Nothobranchius furzeri: one gene and its partners. The main gene of each other region encodes a partner of the protein of the gene in region 3 in a complex. Links are inferred from orthologs where the notes say so. Each region holds a gene or a part of one and is shown on either strand. Other genes may lie near its edges. The genes, in order: gtf2a1, ercc3, polr2f, polr1b, ubtf, polr1h and taf1a.

Region 1 (4,152 bases), on a different chromosome or scaffold from region 3:
AAGCCACTTTTAGGCATGACACGATTCGTCATTTGCGGAAGTCCTACACAATACATTTAAAGGCACACCTGTAACGACACTAATGAACTATCATACACTAAACTAATATCCCTGCCATCAATAATAAAACAAAAGCCAGCAAAAATAATGTGACACAGGTTTTATTTTGAAATATACCAGACGCACTTGTCACTTCCTGTCCGGCTCATGACATCTTTAACTTCATGAGGATGAAATTTGTGTCAATGTTACCTTCTTTCCAACATGATTATTTGACTGTAAAATCCCTTAATATTGTACCTTTAAAGTACTTTAAAACCGGACACACACACACACACACACACACACACACACACACACACACACACACACACACACACACACACACACACACACACTTACTTATTTTTACATATTTGCATTACCGGTCTGATCTTGGAGAGGTTGTACTGAAACTACATTTCATCGCACCAAGACGCTGGTTCAATGACAAATAAAGCAATCCTGTCCTAAGGGCACTGAACTAATACTTGGCTCTTCTATAAATTTTGTGGCCCCTTGATGGGCCCCGTACCCTGAAAAATCTCAGATACGCCCCTGGCATAAATCAAGATTAATGTTTCACAGCTCCATTATAATCCAAACTGTGCTTCAGCATCCGGATCTTATCCACAACCGCGTCTGTCAACATAAACAATTACATAGATGTCCGCCGGGACTGCGTTACTAGCTCAACCGTAGCGTTCAAGTCTGCGGAGACTTTCCAGCCAAGATACCGCCCTGCCTCGATGTCCGCGGTGGACACCTCGGTGCGTCCTTCCCTCCCCCTCGGACAGTCGGTTCCTCCACAAATTAAAGCTCAGTGAAGTGTTTATATGCGGGCCGGTGACGTAGCGTCGTGTAGCACCGTCCCATCCCAGCAGTCTATATTAGACAGCCAATATGGCGGTATAAAGCCAGCCACCGGCAGGGAGGAGGGCCAGAACCGAGCGAGACGGGAGAGGTGGAAGCCATTTTACGGAGCGGCCCCGCTCACAGAGCCGTTTTCTTTCAGCGAAATGAGGCCAAATAAAGAAAGAGGCTCTCGTTTTATGCGTTTAATTGCCAGTTTTGACTCGGTGGCTTTGTTTTGGGAGCAGGACATCGGAGATATCATGGGTCAAAAATGGGTTTCGGGACGCTTTTCTGCGCCTCTGGTCCTGGAATGGTGGACCACGACGAGGCAGCGCCGCGGACTGCGTCCAAGACTTTGCGCTAAAATGGCTTTTTAATATCAGATCCTCTAGTTGAATTTACTTGGAAGTGGATGTTGACGATGTGCTTTGGGTACGTCTGTTGATTAGATGTGCGGTTTCCAATATTTAAGCTCAAATACGTCAGCTGGCTAACAAATTCGTCCAATAATCCACCCTGGGCTAAATGAACGGCACTAAGATCAAACACTGACTCCAAATGATAAACCAAGACTCGTAACAGCCACTGATAAATCACACTAGCGCTAAACAAAGTCTCAACCTGAAGTAATTACAAATTTTCACTTTAACCAGCATTATTTAATGTAAAATCATTCAAAACTTGCCTCGGCAGAAGCTTCTTCAGTGCCATGTTTTCATTTGAATATCTAGTTTCGAATTATGGCTTATTCAAAGTTAGTATTTCCTTTATAATTTCACTCAGGAGTGATGAGCTAGTTCAAGCATATTCATCTGAAAAAAACCCATCTCCTCCACATCCTCTAGACAACTTTACCCCCGTTTCCCCCGACTGGCAGTCCGTTGAGATTGATCCTTACCACTGGGTTCGAGTTAGCCGAGCTCGCCATTATACGCGTAGTGTAAAAACCACACGGAAATAGGCGAGAGACAGAGCCAAAAATGACCAAAAAAAGACTTAAAACAACTGGGAAAGATCGTTTAGAACAGCCGGCATCACTTTTGTAAATAAAACACAGTTTTCACGGTCTTATTTACAGTCCCGGGCTGCGACTCCCCAGCCGTCTTCCTCTCGCCGCTGTCCTGCTTTATATACTGAGCGAAGGAGCTGCGAGTGCGCGAGACATAGGGCAGGTTCAGACAGAAAATCTCGCGAGATTTTTGCGGAATTTGATGACTAATCAGGGTGGCTGCTTCTGGGAAATGTAGTTTTAAAGCGGAAAGCCTGACATTAAAGTTTACCAGGCTTTTTAATGCAGCGTGCTCTGCATTATTATTGGTTCAGTTAGTTTAACGCTAAAGAATACGATTTCACTGCCAGGAGGAGTATTTGATAATTTGATATTGAGTTATATAGAAATAATTAATGCTTTTAAATGTGAGAATATTTTGTTAAATTGATAAAATATGAATCTTTAATTGGATAATACAGTATAGATTTGTTTAGGGTATTTCTATTTTAAATATCATTATTATTATTATTATTATTATTATTATTATTTTCTCCAAGCCTTTTTACTAATAAAAATGTTATTATCCAATTATCCACCGAGTAGAATGAAACGCTTTAAGCGCTTGAGCAGTTCTTCGCCCAACAGAAAAGGAAAATCCTCAATGTCAGACACAAACACTGGGTGTCTCGCAGACATGCCACCCACCGAAACTCCAAGGAAAGCTACAGACGACAAGGCCATTGGATCTGGAGTTAAAGGATTGAGATCCACGGCGCAGGGTCTGAGCGTTAAGACACGACCCTGTTCAGCTGCACGCAGCCAAGCAGACACTCTCCCAGAGAGAACGGGACATGATGGTGAGGTCCGAACCAGAGTCCAGGATAGCCCCACAGCCAAGCGATCCCACAAGGTTCACTGGGATGTGAGGTTTCTCCTTGGGAGCTTTACGGATGATATCACAGAAAAACTTAAGTGGAGGTTTGTCTGGTAAGTAAGGATTACCTGACCTGCTAACAGGTGCATTGGATGCTCGAGGTTTAGAGCTAACGGAAGCAACCTCACCAAACCTCACAGTTGCCACAGGACACACCGTTGGGGCATGTTTCAGTTTTGGAGGACTCGTCGTTGCGACTGAGTCATGTGCAGGTTCAACAGGTGCAGGAGGATGTGCACTCTGTTCTGCAGAAGAGAGGAGAAGAACTCTGTTAGTCTTTGATGGGTCTTCATCCAAGACATGAAGGGCATATTTTAACGCTTCGCGCATGGTCGCAGGAGGCCTGCAACCGGACTCAGCTCTTGACCTTGAAGCAGCAGGGCTGTGGTCAGCATGGTCGCAGCACGGCACAGTGGTTACCACAGTGATCTTAATCATATCTCTTCTTCAGCTTTCTGGATCGCTCGTTTGGCCGTGAAGACGGTGTTTGACGCTCAAGACAACTTGGTGGCGCCTCCTTATGACATCACATGGGTTACAGAAGCCATGGAGGAGAACTTCCAGGTCAGACAGCAGCAACACAAAGACAAATCTGTTCTTTTAAACCCAGAATAATTAAAACATTACTCCCAGGTGTTGGATCTGATGGGAATGCTTCCTCACCTCTGCAGGAACTTCCAGAAGTCCCACTTTGCTGGCTTCTGTAAGAAGCTGGCTGAAGGTGAGCAGCAGCAGGACTTCTGCTCAGGTTTCTAGGACAATAGAGTGTCATCCTGAGTGTTTTGTGTCCCAGGTGCGGAGGCTGGGGATGCTCTCAGCCAGCATGTGTTCGCTCAGGTTGGCAGAGTTCTGGCTAAACATGTAGAGTCAGTTTTACCTGCAGCTCAACCGGTGACCACACCTACAAGCCTTCTGGTTTCACTTTTGCATGTATGAAACTGGAGCATTTCTCTTCTGTTTTGTTGTTTAAGGCGTTATTAAGGTGTGAGCGCGGCCTGCCAGTCCTGTGTGTGGGCTCCGTGTGGAAGAGCTGGTCTCTCCTGAAGCCGGGTCTGTGTCGCTGATGGTAATAACGGTCCATGAAACCCTCTGGATGAAGTCTCATCTGCATGTTTTATGTGTTTCTGCAGGGTTCACAGAGGTTCTGGAAAAAGCCGCATCATCAGACAAGTTGAAGGACCGTTTCCATGGCTACAGCCTCCTGACTTTACAGCAGTCCTCTGCTTTGGGCGGAGCTAGCCTTGGGGTTCAGAGTTTAGGTTCCTCCATCCGTATGGATTACTCCACCAATGCTGATGTCTTCTATCAGCACACCTTCAACAGCGGATAGTGA
Region 2 (4,061 bases), on a different chromosome or scaffold from region 3:
CTGAAGATGTCCTCAGGGACCTGCTGGTTTGAGGTCTGTCCATCAACAGGCTGCTGTGAGGTGGATGGGTCTCCTTTTTCTTGAACAAACTTAGAAATCTGGCCAAAAAAGAGAAATGTAATAGGAAAAATAAATATTTTACACTTTTTACGTAACGGGGGTTTAGTTTAAGAAAATGGGAGACGTTTCCCAAAAATCTACCAAATGTTTCATTTTATACACTAATTATTTCCTAAATACATCTCTAGAATAAAACATTCAACACAGTGACATTTTCATTCAGTTCTATTTTGAACTTCTGCAAACCCCTGTAAATTCAAATATCATCCATCCATTTTCTTTTGCGTATCCAGGGTCATGTCACGGAGGCAGCAGCCTAAGCAGGGAGGTTCAGACTTCCCTCTCCCCAGCCACTTGGGCCAGCTCCTCCAGGGGAATCCCATGGCATTCCCTGGCAAACTGAGAGACATAGTCCCTCAAGCATGTCCTGGGTCTTCCTTCAGGTCTCCTCCTAGTTGGACATGCCCGGAAAACCTCACCAGGGAGGCATCCAGGAGCTGGAGATCACGTTCTGATGAAGCCAACAGGACAACATCAACTGCAAAAAGCAGATATCTGATCCTTAGAACACCAAAATGGATTCCCTTATAACCTTGGCTACACCTACAAATCCTGTTCATAAAAGTTATGAGCAGAATCGCTGACAAAGGGCAGCCTTGGTGGTGCCCAACTCTCACCGGAAACGATCAAACTTATGGGCTATTCCCATCTGTATCGGGTCGGCCCGGGCCGGGTAGCCCCAGTTGGTCCCAGCCTGGCCCGGTTGATTTCAAACATCCTTGTCTTAAGCCCATGTGGGCTGATTCTACCCACCAATCAGAGGCTTGCTCTAATGGAAGGTGTGAATTTGCTGTCAGCAGTGGGTGTGTTGGCCCTGGTCGGCCTGAAGCAGACCCCCTCGAGAAGAGGGCTGAGAATGAGCCTTGGTTGGCCCGGAAAAATACCAGGCCACCCAGATATGTAAACAACCTACGCTACCCGGCCCGGGCCAACCCGGTACAGATGGGAATGGCCCATCTCTGTCTGCAATGTGGACCAAGCTCTGACACCAGTCATACAGGGACCTGACAGCCTGTATCACAAGGCCTGGTACCCATACTCCCAAAGTACCCCCCACAGGGCCCCCTGAGGGACAAAATCAAAAGCCTTCACCAAATTCACATTCACAAAGCACTGGTTTGGTAGACTGGTTGGGCGAATTCCTGCGCACCCTCCAGAACCTCCCTAAAGAACTGGTCCAGTGTTCCACGGCCAGGACAAAAACCACATTGCTTATCCTGAATCTGAGGTTCGACAATCCACCGGACCCTCCTTTCCAGAACCCCTGAAATAGACCTTACCAGGGAGGCTCATGAGTGTGATCACCCTGTAGTTGGAAAACGCCCTGCGGTCCCCCTTTTTAAACAGGGGGACCACCACCCCAGTCTGTGAATCCAGTGGAACTGCTCCCGAAGTCCACGAGATATTACAGAGCTGCGTCAACCAACAAATCCCCACAACATCCAGATCCTTAAGGAGTATGACATACTGCTGATTTGCTGTGGACAACTTCAGTAATAAGCTCAGGGTCTGCTCCATCTGCAGAGCGAAGACGACATTCACGGATCACGTTATCCTGCAGGAGACGCTGAATCACATCAGGGAAGGTGCTCTCTACAAAATACCTAGAAGAGGGAAAACACAAGTGAATAAAACCGCTGAAGAAATAAATGTTTTTGCAGAGAGAGACGAAAGACCTTTACCTATTGTGTTTGAGCACAAGCTTAACTTTCCCATAGCTCACAGTGCAAAGCTGAAAGAGGCAGAAAAATACAACAGATGAGCAAAAAAATAAACTGTTACTATAGGATCACATCCTGTCTATCTCTGACCTCAATGAACTTGATGATTCCATCAGGTACAGATGTTTTACTGAGCTTCTGCAGGTACTCTATAATATCAGTGGTCTGCAGCCCCACACTGACTGCTGCATATAAGGAGTATGCAGTCAGCTTGTACTCATGGATGTGGTTAGGCCTGCACACTGGCTCTGCAATAGCCACTAAGAAATCCTGGGCATACTTATATACTGGTGAGAACGCTTCCAGAAAGATGTGTCCATCTGGAGCCTGTAGAGAAGTGAGAACAAGATTTCACCTCTAAGAGATTACTGAGGTACAGCTGTGACTATAAGCAGCAATGACGCATCATACCACCCAGAGAGGACGGGAGTTGTGGTCATTCTTCAACTGCATCTGTGCGCGGTAGTCTTTGGCTCCATATTCATCCAGTTTTGTGCCAGATTCATCCACCTGCTTCCCTGCAGCAGCAGGTACAGCTTCCTGAGACTCCCCGACTGTCACCTCTTCATCGTCATCTTCCTCATAGTAGCGTCTTTTGAACTTCTTCTCTATAGCAGATCCACAAAACAATCATTAACATTACTAAAACATTTTAAAAATCAGTAGTTATGTTAAGATGCCATGGAATCAAAACTACATTTTGCTCAGACGTATTTGCGCTAGTATATTGCAGGTTAGCGTTCGGTGACTAGCTCCACGCAGATTAAAATGAAACGTTACCAACTTACCTCGATCTCCTTTATCTTTTTTACCCATTTTGAAAGGTTTACATGGGTAAAGTCTTAAAAATAGTCCCAAATGTATTTAGGTAAACACACAATACGTGTCTTTAAATGATATGAAGGAATAAACGATGTCTAGACTGTGCACTAAAGTGGAGCTCTGAATAACAAGCGTTTCCGTTCAAAAACTTTCAAAATAAAAGTTTTTATATTTCCGTTTTTGCCACAGAGACAGTGTACAGTTGATTATTACTTATATTTACGATAGTTTAATACAATTTACGAAGCTTTAAAACTACTTATTCAAAAATGTGTTTATTAAAATCTTAATTAAAAATAAATCACAATAGCAGGTGCATTTGTTTTGGCAGAACACTTTGAAGACTTCCGCTGCTGCTCTATTGTTTACTTCCTAGGTTAAAAGCCATAGAGTAAATACAGGTTTTGTTTAATATCCCCTGAAAATACGTAACGAAATTGTTAGCAAAGATGTCCTCTGATAAAATTATAGGACCTGCTTTGCCTCCGATATTTGGAAATGAGAGCTCTGAGGACGACGTTGACGAAAAAGATTGTAAGATACGTTTTGTTAGAAGCTAACGTGTTGTGGCAATTGATCTTTTCGGGTTGCTCTGTTCACTTTTAGCTAACAGTTTTATTTATGTCGCCGTCTAGTTGCTGGTCCTGCTTTACCTCCTGGGTATAAACGGGGTGAACAGTCTAGCTCCTCAGATGAAAGTGAACCAGAGGTGGCAGCTAAGCGAGCCAAGACTGGGAGAGCTGCAGAGTGAGTTCTGGTTCTGGTCTCATTTGTTAGTTAAAAGAAATAGAACGAACTTGACTAACATGTGTTTCTGAACAGGGATGATGATGGGTTCTTTGGACCAGCTCTGCCTCCAGGATATAAAAAGCAACATTCACCAGAAAGGTGAGCAGAAACATCAATATTCTCTAGTAACATAAATAGCACGTGTAAGGACACTTCCTGTTTAGGATAACAGTGTGACATTTGTTTGTGATGGTATTTTCTCAGGGCACCTGTGTTGGGGCCAGCTCTGCCTCCTGGGTTCTGCAGGACTGAATATGACAGTGATGATGATGATGAGGAAGAAATTGTTCCAGGACCTGCCCTTCCTCGGGGCTACTGTCCCGAACCCTCCAGCAGCGAGGGAGAGGAGGAGGACGTGATTGGACCCATGCCTGCTAAAGGACCGATTCAAGATTCTGTTGCTCATGATTTTGAGTGCAGGGCACGAAGGATGAAAGATAAGCTAACAAGAGTGGTAATTTTTCTCTAACATTTTTCTCCTCATAATAATTAAATTATAAAAGGGGGCTGTTTCTTCTTTGTGTCTTAATGTGTTCTTGTTTGTCCTCTGCGTAATTAGGATGTTCCAGAGGTGGTAACTAGAGAAACGTGGATGACAGAGCTCCCACC
Region 3 (3,877 bases):
GATCCGATGCTGTGCTTGAAAAACAGATTAGTACCTGCACGGGGTAGATCGCTGCTTCTCTAATTCTTGCCACTTTTTACATTAATAATTTTATCATGAGTGTTTTATTACTTCCTATATTTGCGTATCTCTTAAATTTTTCTTTCTATCTTACCTTCTGCACCAAATACCGCAGCAATTTCCTAATGTTGTGACTTGGCACACATATGGCAATAAAACCTTCTGATTCTGATTCTAAAAAGCTGGTCCTTTGTATGTATGTATTTATTTATTTATTTATTTATTTATTTATTTATTTCACTTTGGTGGAAACCGGCCCTGTTAAATGAGGGAAATTGCAGTGTACCACAGTGACCATCAGGTGGCAGCCTTGTGGTGTGTCACCTTTTAAAATAGGCGCGTCATGAATGTTTGGGTGACGTTCTGACAGACACGTTAGCTCTACGTGAGATGATTTATGTTGTTTGTGCAGATAATAAGCTTAAGACCACGTTCGTTAGCCATGACATACAACCAAATAGAGGGCCAAAAGTACATAAAAAATTTATATCATTAATTGAATGTGTCATTAGTTGGTTGAAATATGAAATAATTATGTATATATGATTTTAATGAATGTGCTATAAATAAAAACATTTATTTGATGTAAAAATTACAGATAATCATTAAACTGTACAATTTTAGTAATTATTACATGGCGGAGCTGGCAGTGAAGTCGAAATGGTCCTCTCTCCAGGATCTCAGTCAGGTCCACCGGTAGAACCCCATGGAAATCCCTGGCCAGTAGACATGATGATTCCTCCAACATGTCCTGGATCGAGCTGGGGGCCTCCTACAGGCAAGACATGCCTGGAACACTTCTCCTGGGAAGCGACCGGAAGAATTCTCATTAATTCATCGCTGGATTCAGCCCCAGTCTTCTCTAGTCAATAAACAGGCCTTGGATTTGGAGGAGTCGGTGTGCATTTTAGGATTTAAAACAAAATAATTAAAAATTTTCATCCATGGCCCATTTAACAATTTATGTATGTAATGATTTATTCGTGAAATAATTTGGCATTAATTTGATTAATTGCACATATAAATAATATTTTTTTACGTGTCAAATTCCTTAAATCTTTAGCACTTGATTATAACAATTCATTAAAGAAAGTGAGGAGAGAGAGAGAATGGGGATTATTCAGCCTTTATTTAACCTACAGTTGGTAGAATTTACAGATCAAACTAAATGGAAAATGACTTAACTCCAGAAGGTGGCAGTGTTGCAACGGTAAACCTTGTTGATGCTTCTGAAACATCAAAAAAAAAAAAAAAAAAAAAAAAAGACAGACCGGAAAGGGAACTCTAACGAGGTTCTTTTGGCCGACCGGAATGTTTAGTAGCGTACCAGCCAGTGCAACGTTCATGTGGATTCGTGTTGGTTACAAAAGTGTAGCCTAGAAACGTTAAAATATTTTACACGGATATATACTACTCTAAAAATTTATCATGTCGGACAACGAAGACAAGTAAGTAAAGAAATCGTTTAAATAATCTGCGTCATTTTGTATAATCGACGTAAGCTAACGGGGATGCTAACTCGATTAGCATCACACGGTATTGTTTATTATGATCCTTGCCTATTCTGTGTATTGCTGCTTACGTCCTGTTTTATTCAGTCTCCCATCCAAGTTTACGTACTTTTGTACTTTTTCAATAAAGCTTGTTAAAAGTTATGAATCACCTAAAGTTTAAGATATCTGATCAAAGGTTTTAACTCCGTAGCTTCGATGATGGAGATTTTGATTATGCAGAGGAGGACGAAGGACTAGACGACCTGGAGAACGTCGAAGATGTGAGTTATTACAGAGACGGATCACCACTTGAGACTTTTATGAAGCTGTCTCCTGGTCTGAGCTTGTTTGTTTTGCTCTGGTGAATAGGAGGATCAGGAGAATGTGCAGATCCTACCTGCAGGAGAAGGCCAGCAGGCCAACCAGAAGAGGATCACCACACCGTATATGACGAAATACGAGCGGGCCAGAGTGCTAGGGACCAGAGCCTTGCAGATAGCGTGAGTGTGTTTACATGAGATCACGGTTAAAGCTGAGTGTGTTTGATCTTTAACTCGTTAAACACATTTTCACTGAGAGTAGGTTTCCTCCCTAAACTTAGTATTTAGAGATGTTCAGTGAAATTAGCTGGGCTCATTTCGGGATTTATGTCAGTAAAAGTTTCGTTTTTCCAAAAGACATTTAACCCTCCCATTGTCCTGATGGGTGTGACCCCGCGAGGAAAGTTGACCATTGAGCAGGGATGATGGTTTATCCCTTGGGTCCATGTGGCAGGGGTGAGAAGTGAGCACCACCTCACCCCTGCCATGTAGACATCAAGGGATAAACCATCCATCCTGCTCAGTGGTCAACTTTCCTGGCGGGGTCACCCATGAAGACAGTGGGAGGGTTAAGTAAAAACTTAAATATGCTAAATAGCGCATTAACACCTAGTATCAACAGAAGGTTATTTAGGTAAATCAGTAAAATCAACTCCTGATTCTGTTTTTGTCTTGAGTTTGGGCTCTCTGAATTCCCACCAGCAGAAATTCCTGGAAACAGGCGGCTGCTTGTGTAAATGCCTCATCTGCTTTCAAAATAAAAGCATGCCAAAGCCCATTTTAAAGCTAAAAGTAGCGTTTGAATCTACATGCAGAATTATTTGTATTTAATTTCCAATGCTGGCTGGATGGCTGCAACTAATGAGTCACTTTTTTCCCAGCTTTAGAGAAATTAGCCCACTATAAACCCCATATTCCCATGTTGCATCAGTCTGCCTGAATAAAAGTGTTTTTCCTGTGCTGGCTTGATTCCAACAGGATGTGTGCTCCTGTCATGGTGGAGCTGGAGGGAGAGACTGACCCTCTGCAGATCGCTATGAAAGAACTTAAGTAAGTCACTTTGACAAGCACCAACTTTTGGCTTTGGTTTTATTTAACGAACAACTTTTTACTTCACTCATCTTTTCTTCTCTTTCTCCAAAAGGGGCAGAAAGATCCCCATCATCATCCGCAGGTACCTTCCTGATGGGAGTTACGAGGACTGGGGCTGTGATGAGCTCATCATAACTGATTAAACATCCTAACCAGCATCACACATCATCATCTCTGGACTTTTAGAGACTCACTAACTTTTACAGAGTTGTACGTTTGCCTGCTGGGATCCGTTTATGAATATGTTGTTTTAATTTCTTTTCACCATTTTAACATCTACTTGAGGAGGAGAGACGAGAACCTTTAGTTAAATACTTTTTATGCATCCGTGAGGAGTCTAAACGGCTTGTTTTGTTTTTCGGAAGAGACGGTGTAAATGAATGTTTTATTGTTAATAAAGTCATTTCTAGAAGCTGCTGTGATGGATTTATGTACAAATCTCTGGTTTAAAACAGAAATGTGTTGCTGCGGTTGTTTCATTTAGAAAATTAAATGTCACCCCTTCTTTCCACAGGAGCCGTCAGCAGCGCGTCATAGCTGCTGATAGGAACCGCTGTGGTCAACAGAACCTTTTCCACCGGAGCCGTCAGCAGCGCGAGTCGGCCGCTTCTCAGGAGCAGCATGTCGCGGCCTTTACGCGCCGGTTCTATTTTCTACACGCGACGCCTCTGAAACGGGTCAAGTTCGACATTTTTGGGGAAGGAAAGACAGGAAATCGGACGCGGAAATGGAGAGAAGCTCCCGAGATTTTCAGAATAAAGAACGTACTGCCTTCCGGTTGCTTTACTTTTAAAAAAAGTTACTAACTGTGCGGCCCCGTGAGAAGTTATCACCTAGCTAGCGGTCTCCTTTGTTTTTCAGGTCCGTATTGGCGATTCTAAAATGGACAGAACATAAAACACAAACCTTTTG
Region 4 (4,188 bases), about 59 Mb from region 3:
GAAAGAAAGGAATCAGCACAGAACAACGAGCTGAAGCTCCTCTCAGTGTCTACTCACCAAACTGGGTGTAGCCCTGACCCCTGCTCTTCCACTTGGGTCTCGACATGGCGATGGGATAGTTCCTCCTCGGCATTATCAGCATCCGGATCACCTTCTCGATTCCGTTCACGATGAAGTAACCTCCCATTTCCTGTTCAATTAACCAGCGTTTAGACGACATCCAATAACAGGAGGAGTCGCGTCAGCTCGGCTCACCTCTGCTTCTTCGTGATGCTTTACGAGCTCCTTGGGGGACATGCCGTAGAGGTTACACAGCTTTGACTTCACCATGATCGGCACCTGGCCCAGGGACTGCTTAATGATGCCTTTGGGAAAGCCGTTGATGGACCAGCTGACGTCTGCCTGAGATGACACATCGTCACACGCCTCACTACAAAACCTGCTACCTCACAGCTGCTCTTGATGAACAGAACATCTATGATAGCTTCCAGTCAGGTTTTCGTAGAGCTCATTCTACTGAAACAGCTCTTCTTAGGGTCTCTAATGACCTTCTGACTCACAGTGATGCAGGGGACGGTTCTGTTCTGGTCCTGCTGGACCTGACTGCAGCCTTTGACACTGTTGACCATCACCTGCTACTGGAGAGGCTGAGAGACTGGGTAGGCCTATCAGGAACTGCTCTGGAGTGGTACTCCTCTTTTCTTTCTGAGCGTTTCTTTTCTGTGGCCGTCTCCAAGTTTAGGTCCTCCACCACCTCTCTTACCCATGGTGTCCCACAAGGTTCTGTGCTGGGGCCTCTGCTCTTCCTCCTCTATCTGCTTCCTCTTCAGCACATCCTGAGCTCCTTCAAAGGAATCTCCTACCATCTTTATGCAGATGACATCCAACTGTACATCTCCTTTAAGCCCCATGAGATGTCTAAGCTGCAGCTGTTACACACCTGCTTAGACTCTATCAAAACCTGGATGGCTGGGAGTTTTCTTCAGCTGAATGAAGATAAGACTGAGATCCTCATCTGTGCCCCAGACAAGCTGGTTCCCAAAGTCAGAGACTCTCTTGGTCAGCTTGCTTCCCACACCAAAACTTCTGTCAGGAATCTTGGCGTGACCTTTGACCCAGCTCTCACCCTGGATTCTCATGTCAGTTCTCTTGTTGGCTCTTCCTTCTTCCATCTCAGGAACATTGCTAAACTGAGTCCCATTCTGTCCCGCTCTGAACTTGAGACAGTTCTCCACACCTTCATCTCCTCACGCTTAGACTACTGTAACTCTCTTTTCACGTGTCTGACCAGAACCTCCCTGAACCATCTACAGGTGGTTCAGAGTGCCTGTGCTCGGCTTCTGACCAAGTCCTCCAAACACACCCACATCACCCCCCTTCTCCTCCAGCCACTGATTTCCCTCTTTCCTATTAACTCTCTCTCTTTATTAAATTTTTTTTAATCACAATTGCCTATTTTTGCTCATTTTAAATGTATTTTTAAACATTTTCTAAATGCTTTTTTATATTTTTACATTTTTTGTTTTTGTGAAGCGCCTCGTGATTTTTATCTTGAGAGGCGCTATAGAAATGAAATTTTCTTCTTCATTCCAACAGGGAGGTGAGAGAGTTAGCCTAGCTTACCACCACTTTTCCTCGGTAAGTACTCCTCCTTCCTCTGCATTCTGCTGGAAACACCTTCATCTCTGTGCAGATGCTGCCTTTGGCGACCAGCGGGTTCTGGATGGTTGCATCAACGAACGTGAGGCTCAACTTTTCATTTCTGCACATGAACTCTATCGGAGGAATCGCCTGGAAAACATCAAACAAAAACTGTCCAAAAAGCAACCAGACGATCCCAAAAATCAACATGACCCCAAAGGAAAATAATAACAATAATAATAACCTCATCTACAGCCTTTAATAGTTAGTGAAGCTTCTGCTCTACTGCTGAGTAAAGGTTTGACCCTTTTCTGATATATGAAGTAGAAATGATAAATTTTAAATTTTAAAACATGTTATTGGCCAATTTTGTCATTTTACTTTTCTGTGCAATACGATTTCAGCCTGTAGTCTCGAATTTTATGTTCTAAATTGACTCCGTGTACCCCCCCACCCCCACACACACTTCATATCCTTTTGTTTTTTTCTGAACACTCAAGGGGGCTGCATCTAATTTTTTATGTGTTTTCACTGTAATACAGATATTCATTCAGGTGGTCAGAAGTCATGCTTTTAATTTGAAAAGTTTGAAATGAAAACATTTCATTCATAAAAAGTAACTGGTCCAAATTAGCGATTACATTTATTTACTACATTTTATTTCGTAATTAACTGTTCATTGTTTCCGTTTTAAATAAAGGTTTTTTATTGCCGTTAGAGACACATGTATGATATATGTCTACCAGATCTGACACACGTGGATTAAACATGTTAAAGTCAAAGAGGGCAACGAGAGGAGGAAATTAACCAGGAGTAGTATTTAGTCATTTCTCATATCCCTGCTGGAGTATTTATGATGTTTTAAATTATTAAAGTGAAAAAATAATTGTAAACCTGACTTTCTCACTGACCTGCACAAGGCGGTTGAGTCCATCAGTGACAGCCTGATCAAACGACTCGATGTGGGCTTTAGTCAGGTCCTGAACGGCGGCGTGTTGCGTCTCTTTCAGTTTACCGAATTCTCCATCGGTCAGGTTCTTTAGACTCGGTCCTGTCGGTACATTACTCCACTTAGCTGAAAAGTCCATGTTGGTGTAACCCGGGACGCTTGTTTACCACATGGACATCACGAAACAGGAAGTACATCACTGAAACAGGAAGTAGATCTGTCGTTGCTTTTTTTTTTTTTGTTGTTGTTCTCGAGTGATTTGTTAGCGCCCTCTTGTGGAGACAACGATGCGTTACACCAGTTTCCCTTTGCACTTGACGTCACGCTGCTCATGGGACTGTTTTCATTCACTTTTTCTTTGCTCATGTTCATAAAGCACATCAGTTGATCTCATAACAAAGTCTGTTTTTATGTGTAATTGTTGAGAAGCAACGCTCACTTCTACTGTGAGGGTAGCTGATGTGATTGGTGGTCGCGTATTTTCCAGAAGGGGGCGGTGTGTCACAGCCACACAGCTGCAGTTTTCAATAGAGAAGCGGGGGAGAATCAACGCTTAAACTGCAGTAAAATGTGCAAAAGCAGCATCTGGAAAGCGAGTAAAATAACCTATCTAACACAAAAGCTTGTAAAAGACTGAGTCCCGCTGTATTACTCAGGCTGCACTACAGTGTCTATTCACAGGCGCGATCCCACTACTGAGCGGCACGGGGGCTTTGACCTGCTCCGTTTCCGACCTGGGCCGGTGCACCCCTCCTTAGACGACCTGGTGGTCCCGGGCTTCCCCAGAAGCACCATATCGATACCGAACTTAGTGCGGACACCCGATCGACATAGTCCACTGCAGCTCAGAACTCCTGAGCTCAAACGATCCGCCAGCCTAAACCTCCCAGTAGCTTGGATTACAGGCACGCGCCACCGCACCCGGCGAGAGCTTCCTGTACTTATTGGGCTTTTAGCCTGTTAGCTGTTGACGTCATCCGACAGCGACACCCAGTGGTGTATCTCTGCTGGCTGGTCGTATTATGAACCCCCTGATACTGTGAGTTGTAAAATGTGTGTTCTTTTTGATGTTATTTGTAATTTTTGTAATGTTCTGATTTTAAGTAAAGGTTTGTAAAAAACGAGTTGCTATGTGCCTATGTCGTTTTATATTGTTTTACCTCATTATCAAAACAATTTTGAATATGCCAATTGGCTATATAAGCTATCCCCATAGACTGGCTATCCCAGGTGGATGGTGAGTGAAACGATGTATGTTCTAAAGAAAATGAGGGATATAGGGCCCAACTAAAAGACAAAACTTATCTTCAGGGAGTTCATCACACAGAGAGCCACTTATATCAGTATTTTTCTCAAAACGTTGCAAAAAAATTTGAATTGGTTTTAAAAAAAATCATTTAAATTCACTTTGTTTATCCTATATGTGGCTGACAAGATCCTAACCTTTCTCGTTTAGGTAATTGACAACGATGTTCCAGTAAGCTATTACATGGGTACTGAAGCAAATGTTTTTTTAACATGTAAATCCTGCAGCTTGTAGGCTAAACAAAATTAATTTACCTGGAAATGATTATCTCTCAGCATTTAAGAGCATGTCA
Region 5 (4,001 bases), on a different chromosome or scaffold from region 3:
TGTAACAGATCATTTCCAAAAATAAGACAAACTTGTTTCTCATTGGAGGACCTCTTTAAGAACTTAATCTAAATATTACATCTGAAAAGGTTTACGACCTAAAAATCATGATCTGAGCATCTCACCTCTTTAGAGACCTCTTGCCATTTCTGTTTACACATCTCTGCAGTGTAGGAGTTGAAGGCCACCTTCTGCCAGTCCAGATGGGACTCGGATGTTTTGTATTTAGTCAGATCTTTCTGTGGCAGAGCCACTTTCATGGCCTCCAGCAGCTTTAGGAGGTCATCCTGCGACCACACTGATAAAAAAATACATGTAAACTGGTTCATGGATTTATTAGTATGGTTGCATTATGTTTATAGTATGATGACAAAATGTGGAATTCATTAAAACAATTTCGTGATTATACAAGTATTTGTCATTTGTTAAAAAAATATATATAAATAAAAATGACTCATAAATATACTACCTTGGTCATGTGTCGCTGCCTCCATTTCTCCATTCATTTGTGAAAATGCGATTTTTGAACTACAAAAGAAACAATAAATTAATCAAAATCACTAAAATTCATATTTTCTAACTTTATTATAACTGATCTCTGTTGTAAGTCGTTTGAGTTGAAATGTGTGCCGACATAATGGTTTATGTTCATTACACCGCCCCTAAACGTTTACGCTGCATGGTGAGGCATAGGCTATTGCTTGTGACGGCTTCAAATCTCAAATAACACTGCGGAGGGCTTCAACTAAGCATATCTAGCGACGACAACAGGAGTCCCTGTCGAGCTTCTTTTTTATTTTTTTTTATTTTTTATTTTTGGGCCAACCGGAATTTGGCGAATTAGTGCTGTCCTTATTCTACAACAGAAGTATCGTGGACGCTCAGGAGCGACCATTTTCTCGCTCGGTCTGCTCGGTAATGGAGGACTTTCTGTCGGAGCGGAGGTTGGGGAGGATCCACGGAAGGAGGAAGCGAATGAACGTGGACAGACAGGCAGCTGTAGGCGACCAGCTGACCACGGACGGGGGATCTGCTTTCGGTCTCCGACAGCCTGGAATGGCAGCTTGGAAGCACTGCAGCCAAATGCGCCACTCGGCGGAGACGCCTCATCACCGTTGGACGTGGATCTAGCTCCGCCACGCAGCCCTAAAGTCTTCTCCACTAATGTTTACCCAAAACAAGAACGACTAAACTAGCATTCTACGCGTGAGGGGGTTTATGTGTGCGTTTTAGAATAATTCACTCAACATTTTGTTCGCTTTGTGGTATCACGCAGTTGTTTTTTGGACCAAAAAGCCAGAGCATTCTTCAGCGAGGCGTAGCCGAGCTGTGCTCCAATGATGGCGGATGACCGTTGTTCATCTTGTCCTTGATAGCTCAACCGTGTCTCCTCGCGTCGTTTCTAACACTACTTTCGACATATTTCTTATGTAAAATGCGCAGAATGTCAAATTCAAACGTCGGATTTATGACGTTTAGTCAAAAATACTACATAAATGTGGAAAAAAAAACATAAGACGCCGTGTAACTTAGCATGTCGAAAAGAAGCCTAAAATCATACCAGCATCTAAGGTAGCACAGTTAGTCAACAGTATTTGCTACTAATCAAAATTTGTGTCACACAAGGACGATTTAGGGATCACATTAACTTGTGTTTACAACGTATAATTAACATGAATTATTTGACAACCATACAAAATGCTCCAAAATATTCTAAATTAAGTTACACCAGATCGAAAATTAATAAATGTTAGGTTAAATTATTTGCGGAGGCGCGAAACATAATTAAAATAAAAAATATATGTACGGTGAAACAACATTATTGACCTAATTTTGAATTACTTCATGTTAGTGTTAGTTATTCTCCGTTTCGAGGAAAATGTGGGCTTTAATCGGCTCTTTCATTATCGGATATCTAAAGAACAATCCGCGGCTGAGCAGCTTCTCTGGCGCGACAAAACGGCTCCAGGTCCGCCATGCTACCAGCCCCGCTCTTGTAAGCAAACCTACCGTGACAAGGTCCAATGGCGTACTGCGAACACTGAAAACGGAGCCGAAAGCTCTAGCCGGGGCGTTGCAGACTCCCTTCCCTAGCTCCAAAAAGCGCATAAGCGAGGACGGAAAGGCGGGTTCTCCGAGCTCGGTTGTCGGTGGTTCTGGGCTAGTCAGTGAGAGAGAGAGGGGGAGAGGGGAGGGCGAGTCTCCTCACGGTGAGATATTAAACCGAGATCCCTGATGGCTGACCGAGAGGCGGCTAGCTGTTCCGCCAACAGCCGCGTGGAGGTCTCGGCGCGGAAACTACCGGAAAACATTTCCCCACGCGAAACAAACGATTGCTTAGCTAAATCCCGATGCTACGTGAAACTAATTCGCTTCATGAATTCACTGGGTGTAATTTATAGTAGACATCATACCACTGGGTCTTACATCCAGCTTCTTCCCCGCTGTTTGGGCAGAGAAATTCGGGTAAGGCCGACCTCGTCTGCGCCCTTCCAGCGGGGAGTTTGTTTCGTTACCACAAAGATCCTGCCGCCTAAGGAGCTTTGGTAGACAACATTAAAAACAGAATGTCTATTTTTCGACTTTTAACCGCTTTTCTGGTTTGTTTATCGCGCTCTTTCCACGTGTGGTTATGAAACCGACCGACTTTCGTGCTGCTTACCTGTCTCGGCGCGAGCCTCCGCGTCGCTGTGGATGAAGAAGGGGAGGGTTGAACGATAGCCAGCACTGCGCCGTCGGTCCTGGGCTCCAGTCCCCGCAGAGATGGTCCTTCCCCCCGCCTCCATCTCTCTCGCTGTCTCCCTCCAGTCAACGTGCAGCAGCTCTCTTCTCTCCATCCAACCATTTCCGCTACACCGACACATCCCCATGTTCCCCAGTGTTAACGCCGCTGATTTTCTGAGCTCAGCCAGCAGAGTTTATTGTTTCTCATCGAGCCCGACTTTCACGTCTCCCACTGAAGTTTGCATCTCTAACATTTCGTCTGCCTACACTTGAAAGAAAAATCGCTTTACTGGTTACCTAATTTAAACGCCACCAGTGAACTTTTTTTCATTGAACGCACACATCTTTAAAGTTTATAATTGACACCAATCAGTGTCTGATTATTCTCCTAACTCTTATTTCCGGTGTCCGTGCCGTTCCCCCGGCACCAAACCTCTTTGACTCAAACGTAACTGGCTGTTTGACAGCTTCATTTTAGCCCAGCATGTTATTTTTTCAACTCCACCTTGTGTGTTTGTGGGCGGAACCCCCGGCCGTCCAATCCAGTCCGTCCGATTGAAGGAAAACAAAGACTTTCAGGCACTCAGTCTTGTTAAACTGTGCTATGTTCACTTACAGTAGGAATAAAGTATTATTGGATTAGTGTCAGGAATTTAGCTAACTGGACAAAAACAGTCGTCTTTTGTTTTAGTTTAGTGATTTTAATATCAACCTTCCCAGGCACTACAGGTGGAAATTAGCATCCCCACTATAACCTGGTACATTGCATCTTTCTTTTGTGGTTAATGTCAAGTTGTGCACTGTCACTGTTTAAATAAACTTCTACAATTACAATTAAAATTATATAATATAGTTTGAAGAATTCAATTGTGTTATCTTTTTTGTTTACCTTAAATTTCAATTATCCTGTTCGTATTTATCTTTCACAGTAATTTATATCATGTTTCCTGTATGTGGTTACAAAGTATTAAATCGAATTTAACGTGTAATTGTTAATTACTTTTTTGTTTTGCCTTTGATGAAGATTGAAATCATGAATATGGCTGAATAAAACTAGACAATACTAGACTTAAAAATAAAACCAACTATTTAACCTATTAGCAGGATAAAAAGGCAGCTAAAATAGTAATTTTCCCATGTAGAATATTATGCTTGCGTATCATGTTTTTAGAACGTTTATGTTTTAAATAGTATTTTAAACATAATATAAGAATAACGAACACATTTCTCTCTGAGGAACAATCCTACTATAATTTATCTCATTAAGACTCTTGGCA
Region 6 (4,120 bases), on a different chromosome or scaffold from region 3:
AATAGTTTTTGTAGGTGTTTTTGTTATGACAGCAACAAGCAAATTAAACTGTTCTAAAAAGCTAAAACGATAAATTTTGAAAAAAAAAATAATAATTGTAATCCCTGATTGAAATATGTATTTTTTAAGTGTGTGTGTTTCTAAAATTCAAGATAATTGTGTTGGATTTCCCTCTTTCCTATTCAATCTCTCTCTTTATTTACATTTTTAATCACAATTGTCTATCTTTTGCTCATTTTAAATATATTTTTAATCATTTTCTAAATTCTTTTTTATATTTTTACATTTTTTGTTTTTGTGAAGCGCCTCGTGATTTTTATCTTGAGAGGCGCTATAGAAGAGATCTTTTCTTCTTCTTCTTCTTGGATGCGTATTGTTTTTAATGAAAAAACAATAAAGGAGAAAGGCAACAATCAGTCAGACTAAGCTCTCCCAGAGTTACCACAAGGACTGTCCTTCATCTGCCCATCTCAAATGCAGTTGACTCCACCTGCTGAGAAACTGAGGTCCTTCAGAGTATGCAGAACTCTGTGAAGGACTTTTTATGATTTGTCGGTTGCATCTGCCCTTTTCTATGCAGTGGCCTGTTGGGGAAGCGGATGTACAGACAGGGACCAGAACAGAATTGGCAAACTGGTGCAGAGGACTAGCTCTGTACTGGGATGCCCCCTGGAATCGGTGGTGGGCGAGAGGAGGATGCTAGCTAAGCTAACATCCATCATGAACAACACACATCAACCTGAGCAGCTCATTCAGTCAGAAACTGATATACCCCCGCTGCAGGAAGGAGCACTCCCGTAGACCACCGATTCCACCAGTAGATGGGATTTATAACACATTATGACGTCATTAGTCAGCCAGCCACTTAAACGCTACGGTCACTACTCCATGCAGGATGCACCTGATATATGTATTTGTTTGTGTGCTTACATGTTCATGCCTGTATTTACAGTAATCTACCACATAGACGGTAAATAGTAGCTGTAGCACAACAGCTGATACTTTTTATGTATTATTAATTCATGTGACACACGTGATCGCCAGTGGAATTAAGGTGAAAAACAAGCTAACTTTCCACAGTTTTCCTGTTTAGTGGCAAAACGACAGAGACCAAGTATCTAGCATAAAGTCTTGTTAGCTCACTTGGATCGCAGCTGTAAGGCGACCAAACATCACCTTCCAAATTATTTTCATTCTGGTAAATTACAGATGGTGTACGTTTTTATACATCGTTTCTTTCCCTCAACCGCAACATGCACACGAAACACACACGTACACAGAGGCTACACTCACCTACCGGTAAGCTAATGATACACAACATAACTTTTCTCGCTACACTTCTTCTGAGGGATGACAATTTTGATTGTTTTACTAGAAAAACCAACAAATTAAACGTTTACCTCTCATCTGGACGTTAAACAAGATAGCCGAAAAAGTCTGTTATGCAGAACTGCAGCTGCAACAATATGTCACCAGTGCTCCAGTCTTGGGTCTTTTATGTGGATCAAAACCATTTATAATGATGATTTTGTCCACATACCGGTCCCCGACGTCTTTATATAACATGTCCCTGTATATTCCACATCCTTGTTGGGATTTTATGTGATTTAACACTTTCTTTCACCCAAATCTGCTTCTACTCTGCGACAGTACCGTTTATTTCACAGTTTGCAGAATGCTATGCGTAATCACGTGTGATCACAAGCCCTACACAAAATCTGCTGATTTTAGAAGCATTAATGTCGGTATATCGGTATCGGTTTTCGGCCATAACGGTGATATTAATATTGTATATTTGTTTTAGCCCAAAAATTTCATATCGGTGCATCACTATCACGTTAAATACATTTACTGTGAAGTGATTTTTTTTTCTTTTTACTACACTTGTGGTACTTTGAGGAATCATCACCACCTCCACCCGGGTTCCCAAACAGCCTCTTGAATCAGGCCCTCACAAAGCTAGAAACGGCTCTGGGACACGTTACCTGAAACAGGAATGCAGAAGGAGCAGCGAGGACACAGGACAGTGTTGGAGGTTACTGGTACCGGAAGAACGTTCCCGCATTCAGGACAGAAGTTCGGGTCACCACTAAAATAAGACATCCCGTCGAACCGGGCTGCTGACTCTTGAGAAACACAGACACGTTGAAAACAACAATCAAAACCATGAACCACTGGTTTCCCGTTCGGTTCACATGGGTTCTGTTTCGTTCCCTCCTGACTGCCAGTGGCAGTAAACAGAGTGGATGTATCTCCTCGCGCTCTGCGCAGGTCGAGTACTAATGTAAACAAAGTCACGCACGTGACACGTAGCGCACCTGGTCGCGAGTCTATAAATTACGCGCCGATAGCTACGTTCGGGTCTCCCGGGATCTTCTCGCCCGAGAAGTTCCGAGTGACCCCTGTGACTGGCAGTCATCCAGGAACTCACAGAACCATAGTTACACCGTAACTTCCGTTATGAAGACTTAGCACTTTATAAATTAACACTTTAAAAGACCTCCTGGCTGTGTGATGAAATCTAACGAGTGAATGTTATTGTTATTATTAGCAGTAGTAGCAGCAGCACATTGAGCACGTGGAGCTACTTGGAAACCTTTTACATGTTTATATTAGTATTCGGCTATTCTTTACACATTTAGTTCAAAACAGCGCTACTGTCATCATTTATTAAGTCAGTATAAAACGTTACAAACCTCTTTCACCGGTCACTTGTTTGCAGTAGAGGTCCTAGGGTCCTATCCACAGCTATGTATATGGTCCTATCACGTTATTGTCGCAGGCTGATGACGCAGGACGTGCTAGTGTCGCACGCTTGTTTACGTGACATGAGTTAATGACCAAAATGTTATTTGGGAATAATTAAATTAATTCGCAAATACCATTAAATGGTGTCAAACAATAAAATAAGGTGGAAATATCATATAGCATCTCCAGAAGCATTTCAATACCAAAGTAAAGCATACGTGGAAATAATAAACAACACTAAACTCATAATTACTGTGCAGAGATTTGGGGCAACAATGACCAGGGGTGGTCCTAGCCTGTTCGGTGCCCTGGGCGAACACACTTTACTTTTAGATGCTGCTTCACTCAAGCCGCTTCAGCAGACCTGTCCTCCTCCCTCTGCAGCACGCAGCAGAACAAATGTTTCCAAAAGTTACACACACCAGCATAATGTTCAGGCACTGCGCTCCCAAAATAAGTTTTTTTTTCGTACCCATTTTGCCACCCCTCTCATGATGCCATCCTGGGCCATTACCCAGGTCGCCCATGTCAAAAACAGTACTGCTCATAACTGTTTATTTTTATCTATTTTACAAAAAAAAAAAAAAAAGAAGAAGAAAAAAAAGGCCACTAGAATAATCTACACATCGGTGGTTACAGATGTCACACAAACCAAATGTTCTTAAAATCACAAATTTTGAAATTTTCTGATTTAGTTTAGTTCACATTGGAGTGAAACTGGAACCGACCAGCTGAGACAGTGATGCTGTGTTTTCTTATCAGGCTGAAACCTATGATCATTCATTTGTTTGGTGCATGTATGTAGAAAATTTGAACGGATGTCTGACTTTTCCATAGGTGTTTTATTTTAATGAATTGTTTCCATATTATATTATTTGTGGACTCCTTTTAAATGTTAATGAAAATCAAAAATACAATTCATAATTTGAACACAGTAAAAGAATGACAAACAATAAGCCCTAATGCAAGTATTAATCTTTCTTTGATGATGTAGACATCACACATTCAGTAATTAAATGGTCCATCAATTCCTGCCATATAATGTGTCAGGGAGGAAACGGAACTTCACCAGCAGACGTGGATGGATCACAGAAGGTTGTTTCATCTTCCTTTGTTGTTTTCAAGACATCCCAGAAAAAGATTACAAAAAGTGGAGCATTAGAATAAAGCTTTGTGACTGAAGGTCGTGTTGCAAAATGTTATCATGAAGATTAAAATGTTTTAGCAACTTTATTAACAACATATCAATTCTACCATCATGTCTCACATGCCTCAGTGACAAATTTCTGGATTTAAATCATCCCAGTCCTGCCTGCAGAACACTTACTCGAAGTCATCAGTGCTTCCTGACTAACAGATCCACCCTTAGATT
Region 7 (4,064 bases), on a different chromosome or scaffold from region 3:
TCCAAGTGATACTTTGTGTCATATTTTACACTTTAACAAAACGTTGTTTGATATTTAATACAGAAATACTCATCCAAGGTGCAGCTAAGTATTGGTCTTTGGGTGCTGCCATAATTTTTTGTGCTTTTATTTATGTGACAGTGTTTTATTGAGGCTTTGTTTGATTTGCATTTGTTCTCATGAACTGTATCCGTATCTGTTTTTCTAAGGTGGTTCTCCCCACACACCAGGATTTGTTGGCTTTTATCCACACTTTGGTTATTTCCCTGAGTGCCAATGTGATTTTTTATTTACAGATTATTACAGATTAGTTTTCTCCCTCCAAAGGCAGGAGTTGGAGTCTTTCCAGTTTTTGGTCACACTTAATGATGCCCACATTAGCAAAAAATGACAACATTTAGACATAAATCATGAACTAATGGCCCCTTCCAAACTGGTTGATAAGCATAAAAATGTTTCTTGAAACTAAGGAGGCAAATAATGGACGGAACTCTTCTGTTTCAAGTAATCATATTTATATGTTTGACATGGAAGTAATATGCATTATTATAAAAGTAAAAAATAGTTGTTAATCGTGGTACAACTTCTTTTTATTTATTTATTTATATATTTATACATTTATTTATTATTATTATTTTTTACCTTTGTCAGTGGATAAAGTTAAAAGCACCACCAAAATAAAAAGCCAAAATGTCAACTTTTTTACTGTTGTATCTTTTTGTCATTTTCACAGGATTGAGAATCGATTGTTTAACAAGTAATTAAAGCACATCCTACTACATAAAAGCTTGTTACTCTGCATATTTTTGTTTGAACTTTCTATGATAGACCAATTGCTTGATTTAAATAGTTTTGTAAGATCATCTTTGTAGATTATTTCTCATGTTTATTAGGCCATTTTGGAACCACTATTTTTCCATTTTGGGGCGTTTTAGTCCTCCTTATGGCAACTATTTCTAGTGATTTCTTTTAAAAAGCTCGGAACATGTTTAGTCTGGCTTACCTCCCTCTTCCTCACCAACTTCTTTTTATGCTAGTGTTTATGTATTTTTCGGCCTCCAGTGTTGTTCAGTTTTATTCCTATGTTTAATCTTGAATTTTTATTATTATCTTTTTAATCAAATGTTTAGCGCTTGCAAAGCGTGTTGTGACTTTTATTTAGAAAAGCCCCAATGTAATATCAGCTCCGCCTTTTCCGGTGTAGTTAACCAATAGCATTGCAGCTTTCTCCCCAGCTTCCTTTAGCCGTACTTAAAACGTGGGTTTTACAAATAAGTCATATGAATATGTATCTCGGTTGTATACACTGATATTATAACACACTTTAAGATATTTTCCGGCATTTGTAGCTCACTTGAATTAGCTTATATAATTTGTAGATTATTCAGCAATCCTTAGAAACACCTAACTTTACTCCTGAGAGGAGGTAAGCTAACAAAGGTTTGTTTACATGTGATCCTGCTAGAGGATGGTTGATTTTTTAAAATCCTGATTGGCTCTTTTTGGATAACAAATAATTTCAATAATTTTGGAAAGTTTTACTTTAGTAAAAGAGGGGTAGATTCCCAGTCTTTCATTGACAGCTATGCTAAGAACGCTAACTAGCTTGTGTGTTAGCAGCACTCTTGAGCAGGTGTCACCAACACAGAGGGCTACCATCCTGCACATGTTAGCTGTTTCTTTGCTCCTACACACCTGATTGAAATGAACGAGTAAATAAAAGGTCTATGCAGAGTTAAGGAGATGATTAAATTACTTCATTCAGGTGTGGTAGAGCAGGAAACAGCTATTTTTGAGAAAGTTGATGATAGGTTTGGAAAATCTCTATTTGCAGATGACGGTGCCATCTGGAGAAGTGGGAGGAATTTTAAGCATTTGTTTTCTCAGACACCGAAAGCTTTAGATCAAATTGTGCAGTGGGCAAATAACGGAGGATTCAAGTTATCTATAGTAAAAAGTAAATTTATGATCTTTGGCTTAAAAAGGAAAATCCCATCTATGAATATTCATATTTATGGCTCTGTGATTGAAAAGGTTTAAGTTTTTGGGTTTGTGGTTTGATGAGAAATTAATCTGGAAAACACATAGAAAGATTAGTAAGCAAATGTGAAAAGGTAATTAATGTCATGAGGAGTTAATCAGGTAGCAGCTGGGGAGCGGAGAGAAGTACTTTACAGTTAATCTATAGGGCTATGATTAGGCCTGTTTTGGATTATGGATGTGTGGTTTTTGGGAAAGCTTCTAAATCTGTGTTGTGTAAATTGGATTATGTGCAGTTTATGGCCCTAAGAATCTGTTGCAGAGCATTTAGATCTACTTCAGTTCCAGCATTGCTGGTTGAAACGGGTGAGTACCCTTTGACAATGAGGAGGGGAAAACTAGGAGTTCATTATTGGCCGGGTTTAGTGGCAGCTTGGCGTATAAATGTCTCATAGATGATTGTCGGGAGTCCAGTGAAGATCAGGATAAGGACAGTTTCCTAAATCATATTGTAAAACTAGTAAATCTCCTAGGACTACAAAAGGAAATGGTGGTGGGGTTAGTGTGGTCTCCAATACCGTTTTGGAAATTACCTGAGCCAGAAGTTGTTTTGGATTTACTAGGATTAGAAAAAGCGGTTGCCATTAAACTGTTAGAAATGTATTTAAGTGTTCAAAGATGCTATCCAAATTTATACTGATGGATCTAAAGAAACTACATTTCATAGAGCTGGTTTTGGGGTTTATATTGTCGAGCTATAAGTTAGGTCAAGTGTTTGTGTGACAGATAAATTATCTGTTTTTTCTGTTGAGCTTTTGGCTATTTTGTAGGCAATGAAGTGGATAGTGGAGCATAAACCATCTCACACTATTGTCTGCTCTGATTCTGCTGCTGCACTGTTGACTCTAAGTAACGGGACATCTGAGGCATGGAATGACTTAGTTTTGGAGATTTTGTGTTGTCTAATGGGCCATTCCCATCTGTACCGGGTCGGCCCGGGCTGGGTTGCGTAGGTTGTTTACATATCTGGGTGGCCTGGTATTTTTCCGGGCTAACCAAGGCTCATTCTCAGCCCTCTTCTCGAGGGGGTCTGCTTCAGGCCGACCAGGGCCAACACACCCACTGCTGACAGCAAATTCACACCTTCCATTAGAGCAAGCCTCTGATTGGTGGGTAGAATCAGCCCACATGGGCTTAAGGCAAGGATGTGTGGAATCAACCGGGCCAGGCTGGGGCCGACCCGGTACAGATGGGAATGGCCCATTAAAGACGCTGAGAATGCGGGTTCTAGGGTGGTATTTGTCTGGGTCCCTGGACATACTGGAATTTTGGGAAATGAAATGGCAGATGCATTGGCCAAAGACTCCATCCTTAGAAATAGCATTGATCATCATCTTCCTCTGGGAAAAAGAGAATGTTAATAGTATGTGCATGCAGTAACTATTTAAAAAATTTGTGGCAGAAAGAATGGGAAGGGGAACGTAGAGGAAGACTTTATTTTCCTTGTCAGCCGTCAGCTCATACTAGTTGGCAACCCTTAACCTGTTGTCGTAGAGATGAAGAGGTGATTGCCAGAATGAGATTGGGGCACTGTGGTCTGGCGGCATGCTTATTTAGGATTGGTAAACATGTAGATGGGTTGTGTGAGTGTGGTAGTTCCAAAACTGTTGTTCATGTATTGTTGTCATAGCCTGGCAAGCCAGACTAAATAAATGTATTATTTAAGATAAGGATTAGCAAACTTTGCAACACAAGGATTTGGTCTAGTTCACTAGGCTATTGTTGTCATGCAGGAAATACAATAGTGAGAAGCGGCAACTTTTTTATGGGGCTGGTGGATTTGGGGATGGAATCTTTTTCCTTTTTTTTTTTCGATTAGTGCAAATTCCCAATGTGTATATAGCTTGATTGTTCAATTCCTTCATCACACTGGCATTTATTCGAGGATATAATGTAGCAGTAATATAACTGTGGTGGGCAGCATTGCACATTCCAGCGTATAGTCTGCTGGAAATTTATTATTATTATTATTATTATTATTATTATTAGAAGAAGAAGAAGAAGAGGAAGAAGAAGAAGAGGAA

The links.
Region 1: polr2f (region 3) and gtf2a1 share a complex: the UniProt entries of both Homo sapiens proteins name them as parts of the TBP-based Pol II pre-initiation complex. The link is inferred for Nothobranchius furzeri from reciprocal best matches to the Homo sapiens genes POLR2F and GTF2A1.
Region 2: polr2f (region 3) and ercc3 share a complex: the UniProt entries of both Homo sapiens proteins name them as parts of the TBP-based Pol II pre-initiation complex. The link is inferred for Nothobranchius furzeri from reciprocal best matches to the Homo sapiens genes POLR2F and ERCC3.
Region 4: polr2f (region 3) and polr1b share a complex: the UniProt entries of both Homo sapiens proteins name them as parts of the pol I pre-initiation complex. The link is inferred for Nothobranchius furzeri from reciprocal best matches to the Homo sapiens genes POLR2F and POLR1B.
Region 5: polr2f (region 3) and ubtf share a complex: the UniProt entries of both Homo sapiens proteins name them as parts of the pol I pre-initiation complex. The link is inferred for Nothobranchius furzeri from reciprocal best matches to the Homo sapiens genes POLR2F and UBTF.
Region 6: polr2f (region 3) and polr1h share a complex: the UniProt entries of both Homo sapiens proteins name them as parts of the pol I pre-initiation complex. The link is inferred for Nothobranchius furzeri from reciprocal best matches to the Homo sapiens genes POLR2F and POLR1H.
Region 7: polr2f (region 3) and taf1a share a complex: the UniProt entries of both Homo sapiens proteins name them as parts of the pol I pre-initiation complex. The link is inferred for Nothobranchius furzeri from reciprocal best matches to the Homo sapiens genes POLR2F and TAF1A.

The regions. Positions count from the first base shown.
Region 1 is NC_091742.1:19,637,728-19,641,879, reverse strand, and holds the start of gtf2a1 (transcription initiation factor IIA subunit 1), read right to left. Parts: upstream 2,801-4,152; 5' UTR 1,823-2,800; coding exon 1,793-1,822; intron 1,327-1,792; exon of another isoform or gene 1,211-1,326; intron 554-1,210; exon of another isoform or gene 426-553; intron 1-425. Other genes in the region: N-acetyl-D-glucosamine kinase, read left to right, coding at 3,213-3,383, 3,453-3,540, 3,613-3,710, 3,791-3,869, 3,950-4,149. UniProt on the Homo sapiens protein: TFIIA is a component of the transcription machinery of RNA polymerase II and plays an important role in transcriptional activation. TFIIA in a complex with TBP mediates transcriptional activity.
Region 2 is NC_091749.1:40,321,580-40,325,640, forward strand, and holds the start of ercc3 (general transcription and DNA repair factor IIH helicase/translocase subunit XPB), read right to left. Parts: upstream 2,801-4,061; 5' UTR 2,658-2,800; coding exon 2,630-2,657; intron 2,450-2,629; coding exon 2,253-2,449; intron 2,169-2,252; coding exon 1,932-2,168; intron 1,853-1,931; coding exon 1,803-1,852; intron 1,725-1,802; coding exon 1,589-1,724; intron 99-1,588; coding exon 1-98. Other genes in the region: gpalpp1 (GPALPP motifs-containing protein 1), read left to right, coding at 3,113-3,197, 3,299-3,410, 3,486-3,551, 3,657-3,906, 4,012-4,061. UniProt on the Homo sapiens protein: ATP-dependent 3'-5' DNA helicase/translocase. Binds dsDNA rather than ssDNA, unzipping it in a translocase rather than classical helicase activity. Component of the general transcription and DNA repair factor IIH (TFIIH) core complex.
Region 3 is NC_091752.1:66,414,096-66,417,972, reverse strand, and holds polr2f (DNA-directed RNA polymerases I, II, and III subunit RPABC2), read left to right. Parts: upstream 1-1,352; 5' UTR 1,353-1,488; coding exon 1,489-1,508; intron 1,509-1,764; coding exon 1,765-1,834; intron 1,835-1,922; coding exon 1,923-2,053; intron 2,054-2,851; coding exon 2,852-2,923; intron 2,924-3,017; coding exon 3,018-3,108; 3' UTR 3,109-3,377; downstream 3,378-3,877. UniProt on the Homo sapiens protein: DNA-dependent RNA polymerase catalyzes the transcription of DNA into RNA using the four ribonucleoside triphosphates as substrates.
Region 4 is NC_091752.1:7,757,473-7,761,660, reverse strand, and holds the start of polr1b (DNA-directed RNA polymerase I subunit RPA2), read right to left. Parts: upstream 2,801-4,188; 5' UTR 2,730-2,800; coding exon 2,553-2,729; intron 1,792-2,552; coding exon 1,624-1,791; intron 403-1,623; coding exon 256-402; intron 191-255; coding exon 58-190; intron 1-57. UniProt on the Homo sapiens protein: Catalytic core component of RNA polymerase I (Pol I), a DNA-dependent RNA polymerase which synthesizes ribosomal RNA precursors using the four ribonucleoside triphosphates as substrates.
Region 5 is NC_091745.1:10,210,542-10,214,542, reverse strand, and holds the start of ubtf (nucleolar transcription factor 1), read right to left. Parts: upstream 2,801-4,001; 5' UTR 2,663-2,800; intron 2,168-2,662; exon of another isoform or gene 2,011-2,167; intron 529-2,010; 5' UTR 507-528; coding exon 470-506; intron 299-469; coding exon 126-298; intron 1-125. UniProt on the Homo sapiens protein: Recognizes the ribosomal RNA gene promoter and activates transcription mediated by RNA polymerase I (Pol I) through cooperative interactions with the transcription factor SL1/TIF-IB complex.
Region 6 is NC_091751.1:25,535,633-25,539,752, reverse strand, and holds the start of polr1h (DNA-directed RNA polymerase I subunit RPA12), read right to left. Parts: upstream 2,801-4,120; 5' UTR 2,697-2,800; intron 2,127-2,696; 5' UTR 2,104-2,126; coding exon 1,986-2,103; intron 1-1,985. UniProt on the Homo sapiens protein: Core component of RNA polymerase I (Pol I), a DNA-dependent RNA polymerase which synthesizes ribosomal RNA precursors using the four ribonucleoside triphosphates as substrates. Can mediate Pol I proofreading of the nascent RNA transcript.
Region 7 is NC_091742.1:8,334,908-8,338,971, reverse strand, and holds the start of taf1a (TATA box-binding protein-associated factor RNA polymerase I subunit A), read left to right. Parts: upstream 1-1,264; 5' UTR 1,265-1,426; intron 1,427-1,538; exon of another isoform or gene 1,539-1,957; intron 1,958-4,029; 5' UTR 4,030-4,064. UniProt on the Homo sapiens protein: Component of the transcription factor SL1/TIF-IB complex, which is involved in the assembly of the PIC (pre-initiation complex) during RNA polymerase I-dependent transcription.